3 linked regions of the Sus scrofa genome follow. The protein of the gene in region 1 interacts with the protein of each later gene in a pairwise test. Links are inferred from orthologs where the notes say so. Each region holds a gene or a part of one and is shown in the gene's direction. Other genes may lie near its edges.

The links.
Region 2: the proteins of DMPK (region 1) and HSPB2 interact in a two-hybrid assay, tested with the Homo sapiens proteins (2 studies listed by BioGRID). The link is inferred for Sus scrofa from reciprocal best matches to the Homo sapiens genes DMPK and HSPB2.
Region 3: the proteins of DMPK (region 1) and ATXN1 interact in binary tests that used the Homo sapiens proteins (3 or more experiments, as listed by UniProt). The link is inferred for Sus scrofa from reciprocal best matches to the Homo sapiens genes DMPK and ATXN1.

Annotation. Positions count from the first base shown.
Region 1 is NC_010448.4:52,107,378-52,112,847, reverse strand, and holds the start of DMPK (myotonin-protein kinase), read left to right. Parts: upstream 1-2,025; 5' UTR 2,026-2,927; coding exon 2,928-3,087; intron 3,088-5,196; coding exon 5,197-5,288; intron 5,289-5,470. UniProt on the Homo sapiens protein: Non-receptor serine/threonine protein kinase which is necessary for the maintenance of skeletal muscle structure and function.
Region 2 is NC_010451.4:39,638,268-39,643,442, forward strand, and holds the start of HSPB2 (heat shock protein beta-2), read left to right. Parts: upstream 1-1,849; 5' UTR 1,850-2,127; coding exon of another isoform or gene 2,128-2,250; 5' UTR 2,251-2,759; coding exon of another isoform or gene 2,760-2,806; 5' UTR 2,807-2,920; exon of another isoform or gene 2,921-3,336; coding exon of another isoform or gene 3,337-3,537; exon of another isoform or gene 3,538-3,735; intron 3,736-4,481; 5' UTR 4,482-4,617; coding exon 4,618-4,711; intron 4,712-4,895; exon of another isoform or gene 4,896-5,172; coding exon 5,173-5,175. Other genes in the region: CRYAB (alpha-crystallin B chain), read right to left, coding at 378-581, 2,128-2,250, 3,337-3,537. UniProt on the Homo sapiens protein: May regulate the kinase DMPK.
Region 3 is NC_010449.5:12,727,633-12,732,785, reverse strand, and holds the start of ATXN1 (ataxin-1), read left to right. Parts: upstream 1-1,935; 5' UTR 1,936-5,153. UniProt on the Homo sapiens protein: Chromatin-binding factor that repress Notch signaling in the absence of Notch intracellular domain by acting as a CBF1 corepressor. Binds to the HEY promoter and might assist, along with NCOR2, RBPJ-mediated repression. Binds RNA in vitro.

The DNA of each region.
Region 1 (5,470 bases):
TCTAGAATGCTTGGCAAGCCATGGTCAGCAGAGAGTGGATCCAGTGTAAGGGACTCCTGGGAGTGGTGGAGACCATGGCCAGCTACTGGCAGGGCTTCCTGTGGGCCCAGCCTGGCTGGCTCTTAGCGGAATGGTGACATTTTTTTTTTTTAATACTGTGGGTCAAGCTCTGTGGGCAGGATTGCACCTGTGGGTCTGGCTTCCAGACCGAGTCTCAGCCTCTTGGGATCCGAGTCCACTGCTGGAGGCATGAGCTGTGGAATTCAGCCTCAGGGCCCAGACTGGTACTTCTGCTCCCTCTGTGGCCTTGAGCACGTCGCCACCTCTTTATGACCTTTGTCACTTCTTTGGGAAACTTGAAGATGGGTAGTGGGCGGATGTGCCCATTTTCTGGGGTGGCTGTGGGGTTCAAAAAGGTCCCATTAGGTAAGGTATGGACCTCACGCCTTTTGACTTTGGAACTGTGGTCTCAGATATCTCCTCAGGGTTTGGGCTCAGGGGCCCAGGATGCCAGATCCGAGGGCTGTGCCTTGGTTCCCTGGAAGAGTAGTTTCGGGATTATAGGCTCCTGAATCCCTAGAACTTAAAGCACAATCTCCAAGGCAGGGCCTTTGGCATTTGGGGAATGTGGTAAATCCTGAAAGTGACCCCTCTGTCTCCCTAGTTCACAGACGAGGAGACGGAGGCCCAGACAGGGGAAGGAAGTTGGCCCAGGTCACCCAGCAAGTCAGTGGTAGAGGTAGGACTGTCCCTAAGTTCTCCCCCCCCAGAATCTCAGCGCCCCCCCCAGTCAGAAAAGGACCTCCGTTCCCCCCTCTCCTCCCTGCCTCCCCTCTCCCCCATCCTCTCTGCTCAGGATCACCCAAAGGCTTTAATTATTGTATAAAAGTGCCGCCTGCTGGCACTGAGATGTAAGTTCCCAGGCCTAGAGCAGCGGCTTCTGTCTGGGGGGTTCCAGGGCAGACTGAAGAGCAAGGCCAGGGTGGCAGCTCCCTCCCCTGGGGACTGTCGAGAGCCCGGCCCATGTGGTCTCTAACTCCCCGTCTCCCCTCTCATCTCCCCCAGGGCATCTCTTCCCAACCAGGCAACTCCCCCAGCGGCACAGTGGTGTGAAGCCGTGGATGTCGGGGAGGCGCTTACCCCACGCCCCCAGCCTCCTAGCTGTAACCCTCCCCGCTGACCTCATGGATCAACGTGTTAACAAGACTAACCATGACGGATGGACTGCTCCAGTCCCCCACTCTGCACAAATATGGGGGGCAAAGGGTCCCTCAGCCTGGCCCAGACACTGGGGGGAATGTAGTGACCCATGTGGCCTCAGCCTTGTCCCCACCCACTGCCAAGTACAATGACCCCTTCCTCTGAAACATCAGTGTTAGCCTCATCCCTGTCCCCAGCATGTGACTGGTCACTCCTGGGAGAGAAGCTCCCCATCCACGAGAGCCCCAGCTCTGCAGTGTGCCCCTCGGTCTGTGGGCAGGGCAGGGGGTGGCCTACTCCTCCCCTGGTCCCCGCCCCTGCTGTTGTTTGTGCTTTTGAAGAGTGTTAAATTATGGAAGCCCCTTGGGGGCACCCCCTCCCCCAGAACCTCTTATTTATACTAAAGTTCCCTGTTTTCACAGCGTCTCTGTTCCCTTCTGCAGAGGCGCGGAGGAAGTGTGTGTGTGCTTTCGCAGCAGTTCTAGAATCAACCCACTGTATCCAGAGGAAGAGCCTAGGCCCGGCCCCTCCTCCCCCCACCCCCTTTTGATGGCAGGAAACACTGAAGGCCAGAGGAGGGACACGCACCAGGCACTCGGCTGGTCCATTTGTCCCTGGCCACCCCCAGACAAGGCCCTTTGGATAGAGACAGGCGTCCCTGCCCCCCGTCCTCCCTTCAAAGTCGTCCTTAGCTTTAAAAGTTGGTGCCAAGTGTGCGAATGAGATAGCACGGGGGCCTACCCAGACAGGGTCCTTCAGACAGCTCCCGTGGTGCCCAGAGTGAGCGCGGCAGGCACCAGCCTTGGCCAAGCCCAGGTCTCCAGGGCCAGCCAGAGACCATGGTTCCCTTCGGGAAAACTGTCCACTCTGGAAGGGACAATGAAAATCCCTCCTGGCTGGCTCTCCGGAGCCTCAGGGACTGGTGTCTCCCCGCTCCGCCCTCCACCCCCCGAAATGTTTCTGTTTCTAATCCTAGCCTGGGCAGGAATGTGGCTGTGCGGCCAGAGTCCAAGGAGCTATTTTGGGGGCTCCTTTGCCTCCCCCAGGCTTTGTCCAGTTGATCACCCCTGGTCCTGGCTCCTGAGGGCCTCCCTTCCCGATTCTCTCACCACCCCTTCCCCACCTCCTGCCAAAAAAAAGTCAGCGTAAAGCAGAGGGCCTGAGGGCTAAATTTAAACCGTCCCAAAGTCTGAATCCCTGGCTGAGTCACCCGCAAAGCTGCCCTGGCCTCCTGCCTCCCTTCCCCAGGCCTCAACCCTTTTTCTTCCCTCCCAACTCCAGAGCTTGGGAGGGGTGTCACCAGATCACTCTGAGCCTCAATTGGTCCCCTCTGGGAAATGGGAGGGCTCATCCTTGGCATCTGTATGGTATTCCACTGGGCTCCGCCTTTTCTGGCGGAGGGGAGTTTGAGGGTTGAGATTCTCTAACCCCCCCCCCCATCTGACACTGAAGCATTCCGAGGGGCCTGGAAGGAGGGAGTTGGGGGGGCCTGGCTTGTGAGGGGTTAAGGCTGGGAGGCTAGAGGGGGCTGGACCAAGGGGTGGGGAGAAGGGGAGGAGGCCTTAGCAGCCAGCAGAGAGAAGTGGCCAGAGAGGCCCAGGGGACAGCCAGGGACAGGCAGACATGCGGCCAGGGCCCCAGGGTCTGGACGGGGCCTTCCAGGCCCCATGACAGGAGGACCTTGAGCCCCCCGCCCGGGGAGGGGGCCATGGTGCTGCCTGCCCGTCATGTCAGCCGAGGTGCGGCTGAGGCGGCTTCAGCAGCTGGTGCTGGACCCCGGCTTCCTGGGGCTGGAGCCCCTGCTTGACCTTCTCCTGGGTGTCCACCAGGAGTTGGGCGCCTCCGACCTGGCCCAGGAGAAGTATGTGGCCGACTTCTTGCAGTGGGGTGAGTGCTTACCTTTGTGGGAACCCCACGTTGAGGGCAGGAGGCAGGGCAGAGGGAGAAGGCGGGTCTGGGTGCAGGGACTGATTTTGGATGCAGGATGGGCATGGGGAAAGCCTCCCACTGAGGGGCCCAGCATCTGGGCCTGGGTCTTGGGGTGGCACATTTCTCCCCAGTGCCACCCTGGCCGGGCAGAGTGGGGTCACCAGAGGGCAGGCAGCCATGACTCAGAACCATGAGTTGGGAGCCATGGTAGGCTGGACTGGGCACAGTCTCTCCTGGTCCCCCAGCACCCCCTCCTTGAGCCGAGGCCTAGGGACAGATGGGGAACCCTGTTTCCTAGGACTCCCCCCCACCACCAAAATAGGCTCTATAGCCCTCCACCCTGGTTTCCCTGAGCGTAGGGGCAAGCAGAGGGGACAGCGCGGGGCAGCTGCCAGGGGTGTGGCCGGCCGGCAGGTGTTCGGCGCCAGCTTCTCCAGCTGTTCCAACAGGTGCCCAGGCCCTGGGAGGGTGCGGTGACTCAGGCAGGCCCTGGGGTGGGGGGCGGGGAACCAGCTCTACAGACAGGCACCACCCAGCACCTCCTCTACCCCCTGGTTGGAGGAGGAACAATTTAGGGTTCTTGTGGGTGGGCCCACCTTCTCTGTAGCTTCCATGCTGCCCCCTCCACCCAAGAGTCCCTTCTGGCCAAGTCTCCTCCTGGAGATAGGTCCACAGGGAAGTTGCTGCAGCCTCAGTCTCCTACCTTGTCTCCCCCCACCCCCTCCTGGGCCAGGACTCAGGCTCGCCCGGGTTTCTCTCCCTCCACTAGCCTGTCCCTCAGTGGCTTGCTCTTGGTCCTTAGGCACTGTGTCCCTGTCTCGTTTCTCCACCTTGGCCCGCTCCCTCTTTTCTTGGGTCCATCTCTTTCTGCCCAAGGCCCTGCTCCTCTTCCTCTTCCCATTTTGCAGATGGGAAGGTGGAGGCCAAGGGCGAGACTACTAGGCCTCTGGCAGAACCTTCTCCCCACACACCCCCAGCCCTTAGTAACTCTCTCAGCCCCCCTTCTGCAGAGGATGGAGTTGGACTGGCAGGACAACCCGAGACCTGAGGTGGGGGCTAGAGTCTAGCTCTCCTGTAAGGAGCACTCCTTTTGTGGCCCGAGCAGCGTCCTGCGGCCCCTCCCCTGCCAGGCCGCCTGGGCGGGGGAGGGGGCCTGGGTTCCCGCTGCCTTAAAAGGGCTCAATGTCTTGGCGCTCTCCTCCCTCCCCCATCCCGGGCCCTGGCTGCTGCCGCCCTGCTGGCCCACTCTCCTCGAACCCCCAACCCTCTCCGTAACCCACTGTCTCTTCCCTCGGCCCTGCTTGTACCCTTTGCTCCCTCCCTCCTTCCTCTGCAGCTCCCTGCTTCTCCCACCCACAGGAGTCCAGGCCTCCCTCTCCCCCAGCCCATCTCCTGCCTCCACCCTGCTTCCCCCTCCCAGACCACCCTCTGTAACATCGCTAGCCTAGGACCTTGGCAGAGGACTTCGCTGTCTGGGCTTTGGTTCCCCTGCTGTAGGTAGGGGTGATAGGAAAGCCTCCCCCTGCGGTCTAAAGCGCGGAGGTAACACTTGACCACTCCTGCAGCCCTGGAGCCGGGACTCCCATACCTTCTCCCAGCCCCGGTCTCACTCAGGGTTTCCCAAAGTGTGGCCCAAGAGCCACCTGCATCTGAGCTTGGAGGTGCTGGATTAAACTGCATGCTCTGGGCCACAGTCCAGGACAGACCGAGTGAGAGACCTGGGGGGTGGGCCGGGTCACCAGCAGTAGGGGCTTGAAACCCAGGAAACTAGGCCTCATTTCTTCTCTGTCCTTCAGGGCCTCCCTTTGGTGGACTTATTATCTCACCCTTCCATCCTACGCCCCCAAGAACCCCAGAAAGGGGTTCCCAGGCATCCCACCTCTCTCTGTTTGCGGGCAGTTCTGGGTTCCGCAGACCTCGTGTAACGTTTATGTGGAGACCTTAGGAGGCATACAGTCCAAAGGGGAGGGGCGGCGAGGGGAGACTGGGGACAGAGGGTGGGGCTGGCTCCTGCCTCCAGGGTCAGTCCCTATTATTCTCGGTTCTCATCTCCTGCTGCCCCCCCAGTGGATCCCATTGCGGCGAGGCTTAAGGAAGCCCGACTGCAGAGGGATGACTTCGAGATTCTGAAGGTGATCGGACGCGGGGCGTTCAGCGAGGTGAGCCTGGAGCCACCCCTCGGTGGGGTTGGAGACCTGACTCTTTATGCAGTGGGCGGGACGGAGGACTTCGGGGCGGGGCCTTAGAAATTGATGAATGACTGAGTTTAGAACCTAAGGTGGGGCTTGGGGCCAGTGGGCATGGCGCGGCGAGTTGGGCGGGGCCAAACCTGTCCGTGTCC
Region 2 (5,175 bases), on another chromosome or scaffold:
TATTCCTTGAACTCTGCTAAGGGCATTTTACTTTCTTTTCCTCCTTAATCCATGCCTTACAACAAGTGTACAAATCAGTACCCCATGTTATAAATGGAAGACCATAAAGTTTAAGTGACTTGCTGAATTTATACCATCAGTAAGTGTTGGATACAGTTATTCTGACCCTCATATCCCTGGAGCCCCCTAAATCACATGGTGATGATTAATACAGAAGATTCAAACAGAGGACAGTTATCTGTTGCTGAATGATATTTATTAGCTTAATAATTTGGGCCTGCCCTTAGCATTAATAAGCTTCAGCACTAGTCACAAGATTTTCATTCACTGATGAGGAAGGTTTCTTGTTTTAAAAAATGCAGTTAGAGGAAGGGCATCTACTTCTTGGGGGCTGCAGTGACAGCAGGCTTCTCTTCACGGGTGATGGGAATGGTGCGCTCGGGGCCAGAGGCCTGTCTCCTTGGTCCATTCACAGTGAGGACCCCATCAGATGACAGGGATGAAGTAATGGTGAGAGGGTCCACATCAGCTGGGATCCGGTATTTCCTGTGGAACTCCCGGGAGATGAAACCATGTTCATCCTAATGCAAGAGCATAAGGAAAGAGGTAGATAAGAACAGGAAATAGTGTTGCTTGCCTGGAACTCAAGACATCCTGCTTCTCTCTGGGTGTGACCAAATGTGTGGCAACAGGAGAGAAGGCTACATAGCTTTCCTGTTTGGGGCTAGGATGAAATTGCCTAGGTGACCACTCCTACCAGTGGGAGTCTGAAAAGTCTGAACAGCCAGGACTTCCTAGCTCTTCAAGCCCTGAAGTGCAGTTATGGTCAGGGGTATACCTCAAAGGTTTAGATCAATGTTTGCTGGGTTTACAGGATTTAGACTATCATCTGGCTTTGATGATTTGAGTCCCCGGAAGCCCAGCAATTGTCCTCACTCTTCAGGAATGTTCCAGAACGTTCCAGACCAATAGGACTAATAAAAATAATAATGAAAAAACTCCATCTTGGGGAGGCTATGTTAAATGATATAAGCAAAACTGAAAGAGCCTGAGGACCTCAAACTATATTATTTGATGTACGAGTTTCTGAGTTATAACTAATTGGTAAGAAGCAAACTCATTGAAAAACTCTCCCAGAGAGTAATGAGAAACTATTCCAGTCTTTATAATTCTGCTACAGGTTAGTTAACTGTTAATCTAATCCCTGCTGTATCTCAAGCATTTATCCAGACAGGCTCTCAATTAACTGATTTCCACATAGGTCTCATGTATTAGGAGCTGAGTATAGCTCTGAAATCTAGGCAAACCAAGTAGTTCACATTAAGATGAGCTAAAGAGAAATGAATTCCTGAACATCTAAAAGTCCCAAATGCCAGGGCCTTCCAGATGTAAGCAGTTAAGGTAATTATATAAAGCAATCAGATCTCTGACAATCACTATTCCTAAATCAGTGGTCTTTAACCTTGACTGTTGGTATGTTAGAATTCCCTAGGGAGCTTTTAAAATCTGATGCCTGGAAGTTCCCATTGTGGCTCAGCGGTAACCACCCGACTAGTATGCATGAACATGCGATTCTATCCCTGGCCTCACTCAGTGGGTTAAGGATACGGCACTGTGGTGAGCTGTGGTGTAAATCGCAGACATGGCTTGGATCTGGCTTGCTGTGGCTGTGACGTGGGCCAGGGGCTGCAGCTCTAATTCAGCCTTGACCCCTAACCTGGGCACGTCCACATGCTATAGGTGAGGCCCTAAAAAGACCAAAAAAAAAAAAAAAAAATCTGATGCCCGAGTCCATCCCTAAAATGTCTGATGTAACTGACCTGGGATATGCCTGAGGATTGGGATTTTTTTTTTTTTTTTTTTTTTAGTTCCGCTGGTAATTCTAACATGGCCAGGTTGAGAGCCACTGACTTAAATGAGAAGTTAACCTTCCATCTATCCTATCTAAGGCAGTCAAGTCAAAACAAAGATCACTTCTCTAGCCAAAATAACAATAACAACAGATCTATCCCTGTTCTAGACTCTATGGCTTAGGACTGAAATGTTGCCAGCTTCAGAGGCTCATGGCAGCATCTGGTACAATGTACACCTTGGGTGAATGAGCAGAAAAGAAAGCCAGCTACATACCTGGCGCTCTTCATGTTTGCCGTGCACCTCAATCACATCTCCCAACACCTTGACCTTGAGTTCCTCGGGGGAGAAGTGCTTCACATCCAGGTTGACAGAGAATCTGTCCTTCTCCAGACGCATCTAAAAACAGCAAGGTGGGGCAGGGGTAGCAGAAAAAGTGGTAAGAATGGGGATTACACTAATACAGCCTCATCATTCTGCAGACTTGCTTTCTGCTCGGGTAGTTGGTCCTCCCCTTTTAAGCTAAAAATCCTTTTTTGAATAAACATGGTTCTCTGGTTCAGGGGGCACACCACTTGGTCATCAGGCCCAAACTTTATTTACAGGGAAAAAGGCCACTCAGGGGATAAATCGCAAGGATGGGTCTGGGCATGGCTTCTGCTGCTTCTCTGACCCAATGCCTGGCCTTGTCATTTGTCTGTGGTACAAAGGCTGCTTCTTCTTGCTCAGGTCTCTGCCAAGTTTCCCACCCACTCAATCTGGAATGTTCTGCTGGCTCTGATTGTCCTTCCAAAGCCCTTGTCCACTCAGCTCCTGTTTATTTACACTTGAAAAATTTTAAACCAGAGTGTTATCTGTGACAGCTTCTGTCAACCTTATCTGTTCCCCTCATTTTCCCACACTCCTAGGACAAGTTGGGGGGTCAGAAAACTGGACCTATATTCTTTCCTCGTGAGCCTCGGACCCAGGCCAGTGCCCTGTCACAGCCTTGAGAAACCTGGAAAATCACAGAAGAGGGAGTGGAAGACAATAGTGGTTGCTGTCTCCAGCTGCACGCAGCAGGGATGAGGTAGGACTGTCTCCTGGCTCTGAAACTTGAAATGATAGTATTTGTGAGGAGTGTGAGGTGTTAGAAGAGGTGAGCAGGAGTCTGAAGGCAGCCCTTGCACTGTAGATCATTATGAACCAAACTGGAAAGGGACACCCTACTTAGAAGAAGAGGATAGAGAATGACCTTTGTAGCACACGGGGAAAATATAAGAAGTGGAATACACAGGGGCGTCAAATCCAAACAGGTGCCTGCGTGGGGGGGAGGGGAGGAACTAGGAACCCCATCTTTCTCCACTGCAGGACACACAAGTGCCTAAAACCCTTGAGACCCTTAGACACAGCCACATTTAGGCTGGGAGGAAGAGGAAAGTGGATGGGGACGCTTCCAGGAGGCTCCAGAATGCACTCTCCTGTCGGGGCAGAGGGGATACTTACCTCTGAGAGCCCAGTGTCAATCCAGCTGGGTGCCCGCAGGAACGAGGGCGGCCGAAAGTAGAAGGGGCTCAGGGAAGTAGAAGCTGGGAAGAGATCAGACTCCAACAGGTGTTCTCCAAAGAACTGGTCAAAGAGGCGGCTGGGAGAGTGGAAAGGAAAGAAGGGGCGGCGGATCCAGGGGTGGTGGATGGCAATGTCCATGGCGGCTGGGTGGATGTAGAGGGTCAGCTGGCCGGTCAGCTCCTTCAGCTGCAGCTCCAGCCAGCCCCTTATATACGCAGTCTTGTGAAGCTTCTGGAATGGTGATGTCAGGGGTTTTATTATCCCAGCTCACCACCCGTTCATGGAGACTTGTGATCGGGGATTTGGCAGTGTGACACATACCCAGTACTCACTGAGCTAAGAAAAGAGAAATACAGACACGTCTGAGCTGGCCAGTGGCTTGTCCTGGTCTTGTTTCACTAGCTTTCTGTCCACACCCAATGGCACCCTTCCCCCATCCCCTTCCCTGGAGTTGGGACCCAGTCAGGAATCCCAAGCAGGCGGGCAGCGGGCCCCTCCTCCTCTCCAGTCCAGCATGCCAAGGGAATGGGGCCAACAACTATCTTGGGCCTGGGCAGGAACTGGAATCTTCCTAGGCTGGGCCCCAGGGACATTAACTCTTTGTGGGGCCCTGGAGGAGAGCAGTGATCACCAGCATGTCAATGGCAGGTTTCCGTGTGGTGCTCTGGGTTGCCCCCGGTTCAGAGAGGCCCCTGATATGTCAAGACCAAAAGGCCCCTCACCGCACCCCCCAAAGAAAGGGCAGAAAGTTGTTTGCATCTTTCGCTTTACGTGGCTGGCAGAACCTTAAATCCAGGGGAGTTTTATGGAGTAGGGTGCCTGCTGCCTGCAAGTGAGGAGGAGAAGGAGGGTGTGGAAATGTACACCCTTTTTCGCGAGGGTCTCAGCGAGGCCTTTCCCGGACCTCCGCACCAGCCTCCCCTGCCCAGCTCGCTCCGCGGCCAGGACCCCCAGCTGTCCCGGGGGAGGGGGGAGGGAGGGGGCGGGGATGTGACAGCTGAAGAGTGTGCTAGGGAGGGGACGGGGGTCCAGGCGGCGCGGGTCACACAGCCGTCGCGGGCGCTCCTCGCCCCTCCCCCCAGGCTCGGCACTATTTTGGGTGGTGTAGACCCCGCCCCCACTCCGAACGCACCCTGGCCCTACGGCGGCAGCTGGAGGGGTCCCGCTGCGACTGTTGGGGCCGCACCTCGGACCTGAGCCGCCGCCGCATCTGCAGCCATGTCGGGCCGCTCGGTGCCACATGCCCACCCGGCCACCACTGAGTACGAGTTTGCCAACCCGAGCCGCCTGGGTGAGCAGCGCTTCGGGGAAGGTACGGCCCGGACACCACCCCCTTGCCTCCCACCCCCACCTCCTGAAATTCTGGGCTGACCTCCCAAAGATCCTGGCCTCCACCCCACTCCAGGCTTAAGTGAACTCCTGGGGCGAGCCGTCTCCCACCCCAGACCCCCCCACCCCACCCCTTCTAAGCTCGGCTCCCTCCCCTTCCTGCCTACCTTGGTGCGGGCTGTGCCCGCGGTGCTGACACCTGCCGCGTCTGCCTGGGCGTGGGGGCTTCCCCTCCGACCCCCCAGATCGCGTTAGGTTTGCTCCCCGCCCCCATTTCCCTTCTCAGTCCCCTCTGTCCAGTCCCTGTCATCCCTCCCTCCCCTGCTTCTTCCGACTCTCCCCTCCTCGCTCCCCGGGCCTCACCCCCGATCTCCCCAGAGTTCACCTCCTTCCCACCCCTCGTCCCTCATCCCGCCTCTCTCCTTCTCCCCCTCTGCCCCCCAGGCC
Region 3 (5,153 bases), on another chromosome or scaffold:
TAAGGCAACACATCGATGGAATACTAGAGCAGGGCAGGGTGGATCAGGAAAACTGGGGGATACAATTTTAAGTAGGGAGTCGTGTGAATATTCAGGGAAAAGCACTCCAAGCAGAGGGACCAGTGAGTAGAATGACCCCGAGGAAAGAGAGCGCCTGGCTTTTTTTGCGGAACAGCAAAGGGGACAGTGGGGCTGGAGCTGTGGAGTGACAAGAAAAGAGAGGGGACACTGGATCTGAAAGACAAAGAGATTGGGTGGGGCCTTGGAGGCCATGGGAAGATTTTGACTTTGACTCCAAGTGGAAGCGCAACATCAGATGCTTTTGAGCAGAGTTGTGGCATCACCTGATGCAGATGCTCAGTCATGGTGTGAGCTGGTCCTGCCGGAGGCAGAGACAATGCAGGAGGCCAGTGCAATAGTTCTGATGAAGGATGGTGGCAGTTCAGTTTTCCAGGAGTAGCAGCCCAAGTAAGTGAGAAATGGTCAAATTCTGGATACATGTGGAAGGTAGAGCCAGTTGGCTTTGGAGGCAGAGTGGATGTGGGTGGGGGATGTGAAAAAGAGGAGTCAAGATGCTTTAGGGCCTGAGCATTTGGAAGGATGGAGCTGCCATTTACTGAGATGTGTGTGCAAGAGCTGTATTATACATCTCACAGTGACTCGGAGAGAACAGCTGCCTTGGGAGTGTGGGCTTGAGTGTAAGGCTTCCTTCTACCTGCTGGGGAAAACCTCTTGAAACAAATGAGCTCCCGGCTGTGCTTTGAAAGATGAGGCTCGGAAAGACTGAGGTTTTCACAAGTACTTTTGTAAGACTCAAATGCACAGTTTAAAAAAAGCATCAGTTCGGGGGTTGTATTTCCTCCTCTGTGCCAAACAGTTCATTTAGTTTTTTTAGTCTTTTCCTCACCCCCACCCCAACTCCACAGGCTGAAATGCCACTTCTGAAGAGCAGAGCTGCTGGTGCATCCTGGCACCAATAGAGGGAGCTGAGAAGGCCTCCGGAAGACCTCTGAGCTGAGGCCCAGGGCTGGACACTGCCTTCTCTCCAGCCTCTAGCAACCTCTGTGCTTCTGGCTAGAAGCCAGGTGTTTCTGGGAGGATGGGGAAGTGGTTCTAGAACTCTCTTGACAATTTTCCTATTCTACTGAAACTTTTGTTTATGGCCGTTGTCATGGGTAAAGGACCAAACACATATGCATCCAGAAGTGATCACCTGTGTGTATCCATAGAGGAAAGAGATAAGGCCCTAGATGTAAATAAAGAGAAGAAGGAAGAATGCAACAGATGGAATAAAGAGGGTGTATGGGGCTGCTATGACAAGTGACCACAAACAGGGTGGCTTAAAACAAGAGAAATGTACTCTTACAGTTTGGGAGGAGAGAGGCCCCAAATCAAGGCATCGGGCCTTGCAGGGCCTTGCTCCCTCTGAAGCGCTAAGGAAGAATTCTTCCTTGCCTCTTCCAGCTCCTGGTGATTGCTGGCCAGTCTTGGCTTTCCTTGGCTTGTGGCTAAATCACTTCCATCTCGGCCTGTCTTCGCAGGGCCTTCTTCCCCTTCCCTGTGTCCCCCGGTCTTAGGAGAATAGCGGTCAGGTGGGATTTAGGGACCACCCTCATCTGGTAAGACATCTTAACTAATTACATCTTAATTCCAGATAAAGTCACTCACTTTCCTAGGGTGCAAGGACTTCAACATATCTTTCAGGGGAGCACAACTCCACCCACAACAGAGGGCAACAGGAACTTACCCTGAGAGCCCACCTGTGGGGGAAAACACATAAATGGAGCAATAAAAGGAAAACAGTTACATGTGAAATTCTAAGTGGAGGTCAAATGGATTTGGGAGTAACAGGAAATATTAGATAAGAGAAGCTTTCACTTGGGATACGCTCTCCATCTGTGCTTATGGCCTTGATTTTTTTTTTTTTTCCCTCTCAGAGTTAAAAAAAATACTGTATAAATAAAAAGAATAAGAAAATAGCACTTCTCTGACTCACACATTGGGCAGAGCCGCAAATTCTTGTGATAATCAGGAAAGACTCCACGGAAGGGTTGGTGCCTGAGCTGGATCTCGGAGGATGAGGATAAAATCGCCATGTAAAGGAGGACTTCCCAGATAGAGAGAAAGTATATGCCAAAGGCCCAGTGTCACTTCAGTGATCCACCCTTTACTGCCTGAAATAGGGTGAACAACCTCTCAAGGCAAGGCGCAGACCGTCTGCTTGATCTGTATTACTCAGAAACAGGATTAAATACAGGAAGGGGCAAACATGTTGCTGGTTTTAATAAATGCACACAGAAGCACACAGTAACCTAAAGAGACAGGAGAGCAGCATCTCTAAGGAAGACTTCATTCTTGGGCACATTTGCCAAAGCACAAATATGGAAACCCCACCCTCAGCCAGAGCTGGAGAAATCAAAAGGCTGATGTGGTATAAATTCCTCTGCCCTGATTGCATAAGGAGATCTGCCAACATTTTTTTCTCTGATATATTCCTTGCTGCACAAAGAGCTGAACTGGGTTTTTAAAACCTGATCGTGAACCGAGATAGGCAATTCTGAATCATCACCAGGATCTAGGAAAATTAACCCTCACCGATCTTCCCAGATAAGCACCCAAGCTTGCTGCCTCTGAGATCTGCTGCGGGGTTCTGGCTAGGTTCCTGTCACAGAGAGACTCCCCTTTTTTGGCATAAGAATGTACAAGATGCCAGTAAAGTTCACACTGGGTCATCGAAGGCTCTTTAAATGCACGGTGATTCATTGCTGGGGGTGGGGGAGCGACGAGAGGGAGGGGGAAGGAAGTGCTGAGCAGAGAGGCGGAGCGAAGTAATTATGAAATTGACTGCAGAAAAAGCTCGCGCTGGGAGTGACGGGGGTCACGTGTTCCTACTATTGGTATTTCGGCTACAACTTTCAAACCCGAGGCAGGGGGGAGGGGTCGGGAAACCTCACCTTGCCTCTTGATTGGCTTTCGGAGGAGATGCTTCAGATGCCTGGCATATTTATTAGAATTACAACGGAGCATTAATTTCTCTTTTTATCTGACAAAGAAGAAACGCTCTCCCATGACAGTCCGGTTAGCAGAACAAAAATCTGGCTGTACTGGTATGAGTGAACAATTTGTCTTCTTCTTCTTGATTTACTCCGCATTCTAGCTGACAGGGTCTTCCATTCTGCGCATTCATTTTGTACTTAAAAAGGGATTGTTTGTAATTTACAGTTTAAGGCTGAGGGCCATTATTCTGCGCTGTCAGAACGCATCTGCCGCAGGAGCATCGTTTCAGCCTGTGCCAGGGCACAAAGCAAGCCCTGATCGCCAGTCAGCTTGAGAGCTCCCTGGAGACTCCAGCCCTTAAACTTTGGAGAGGCCTGGCCCACAGGGGTTCTGCAAATATCAAACTGCCTGACAACCCCCGCTGAAATCCTGACACACAGTTTCCTCTTTGTGTCCAAAAGCAAACTTGGCCAGTGCCTCTTCTCTAACTCTTCCTCTTTGGGGTAAACTTGGTAAATTCCTCATAAAATAATTGTCTTAAACTCGGACCCTCCTGTGGGTCAGTTTTCCTAGCTGATGGGTGACTCAAGAAAAACAAACCGACAGAGCTTACAGCTAGATATTTTAATATCCTGTAGTTAGAGTCACAAAGACCTTCCCTCTTTCCCAAACAGTTTGATGTGTTTTGTTTTGTTTCTTTCAGTCCGTTGTAGCCCCTGATCTCAGTCTGCAGACACCCTAAGCTTAACCCCTACAACCCATCAACTGCCATCATCTTAAAGTGTAAACAGTGGTGGCTTTGGGCTTTGATTTTAATTTGGAAAATGTATTTCTTTTGAGGAAACAAAATGCCAAGATGTTAATGAAATGCTTTTAATAGATTTCCAAATGCTCCCAGCCAATACCAGGCAAAGTTCAACTCACTCATTCTAAGCCTCAAACTGTTGTTCATTTTCTTTTCCTGTAAGAAGGGCTATGTCCTATAGATGATTAAAACCATAAATTCTGTTATTTCATAGGTCATTACATTACATTCAGTCTTGGTTGTAGTTACATTGACGAAAATTTATCTAGGTCTTGCTTGAAAAATAAATAATAATGGTTAAAAATCATCTCATTTCCTTTTGACGTGTCCTATTAGACTAAGTATATGAGAAAGTGTTATATATAAAAAAAAAGACAGATTTCCTTTTGGTGGCCTTGATTTGTTTTCTAGTTAAGCAGCAACTGTATACTTTTCATTATTCATGCCCAAAGCCATCTGTCATTAAAAGGTAACACCCCCAACCATTCAGCCACAAGCTGCAAATCCAGCTATAACTCCAGAATACATAGCTTTCCATCAGCTTCCCAGGGTGGCACAGTGTCTGGGATCCTCTCTCCCCTTCTCCCCCCCCCAAAAAAAAACCCACACCAGATCTAACAAATTTTTAGTCTAACAGACAAATCTAATAAATTTCTATTTTGTGGGCCCATGCCAGATCTACCCAGGAGATTATTCCTTCACCACCAGCTTACTCTCAGAGATCATTTTAACAAAGGTTAAGGTCCATGTTATACACTGCAAGGGGGAAATCTCAGGAAGGTTAAAAAAAAAATAACCCAGTTATCTACTCCACTACTGCAGAGTCATGCCAGGATCTTAAGGTCTCCAATTAGTTCTTAGAACTAATTCCTGCACCTCCCCAGCCTCATTATTTATACCAGAGTGGTCCATTAGAAAAATAATGGACACATGTCATTTTAAATTTTATAATAGTCACACTCGGAAGTAAAAAGAAACTGGTAAATTAACTTTAACGGTATATTTTATTTAACCTGACTTAGGCAGAATATTTTCATTTTAATCGATACGAAAATTCTTGAGATACCTGTATATGTGTACACTTGTGCATTTGTGTGTATGTTCTAAGTCTGACATTTAAAGTGTATGTTACACGTATAACACATCTCAATGGCTGAAGTCATATTGAACAGTGCAGACCTATCTGAAAGCACTTGTTTTTGGTTTTAATTGTAGACAGAATCTTATTTAAAATTCCCTACTGTGTGTACTGTTACATCATAAACTGTTGGCAGATGTTTAAGTACAATGATTTTAATTTCACTCTTGACTAGTGGTGATGTCATTTTCATTACCCAGAAGCCTATGCTGC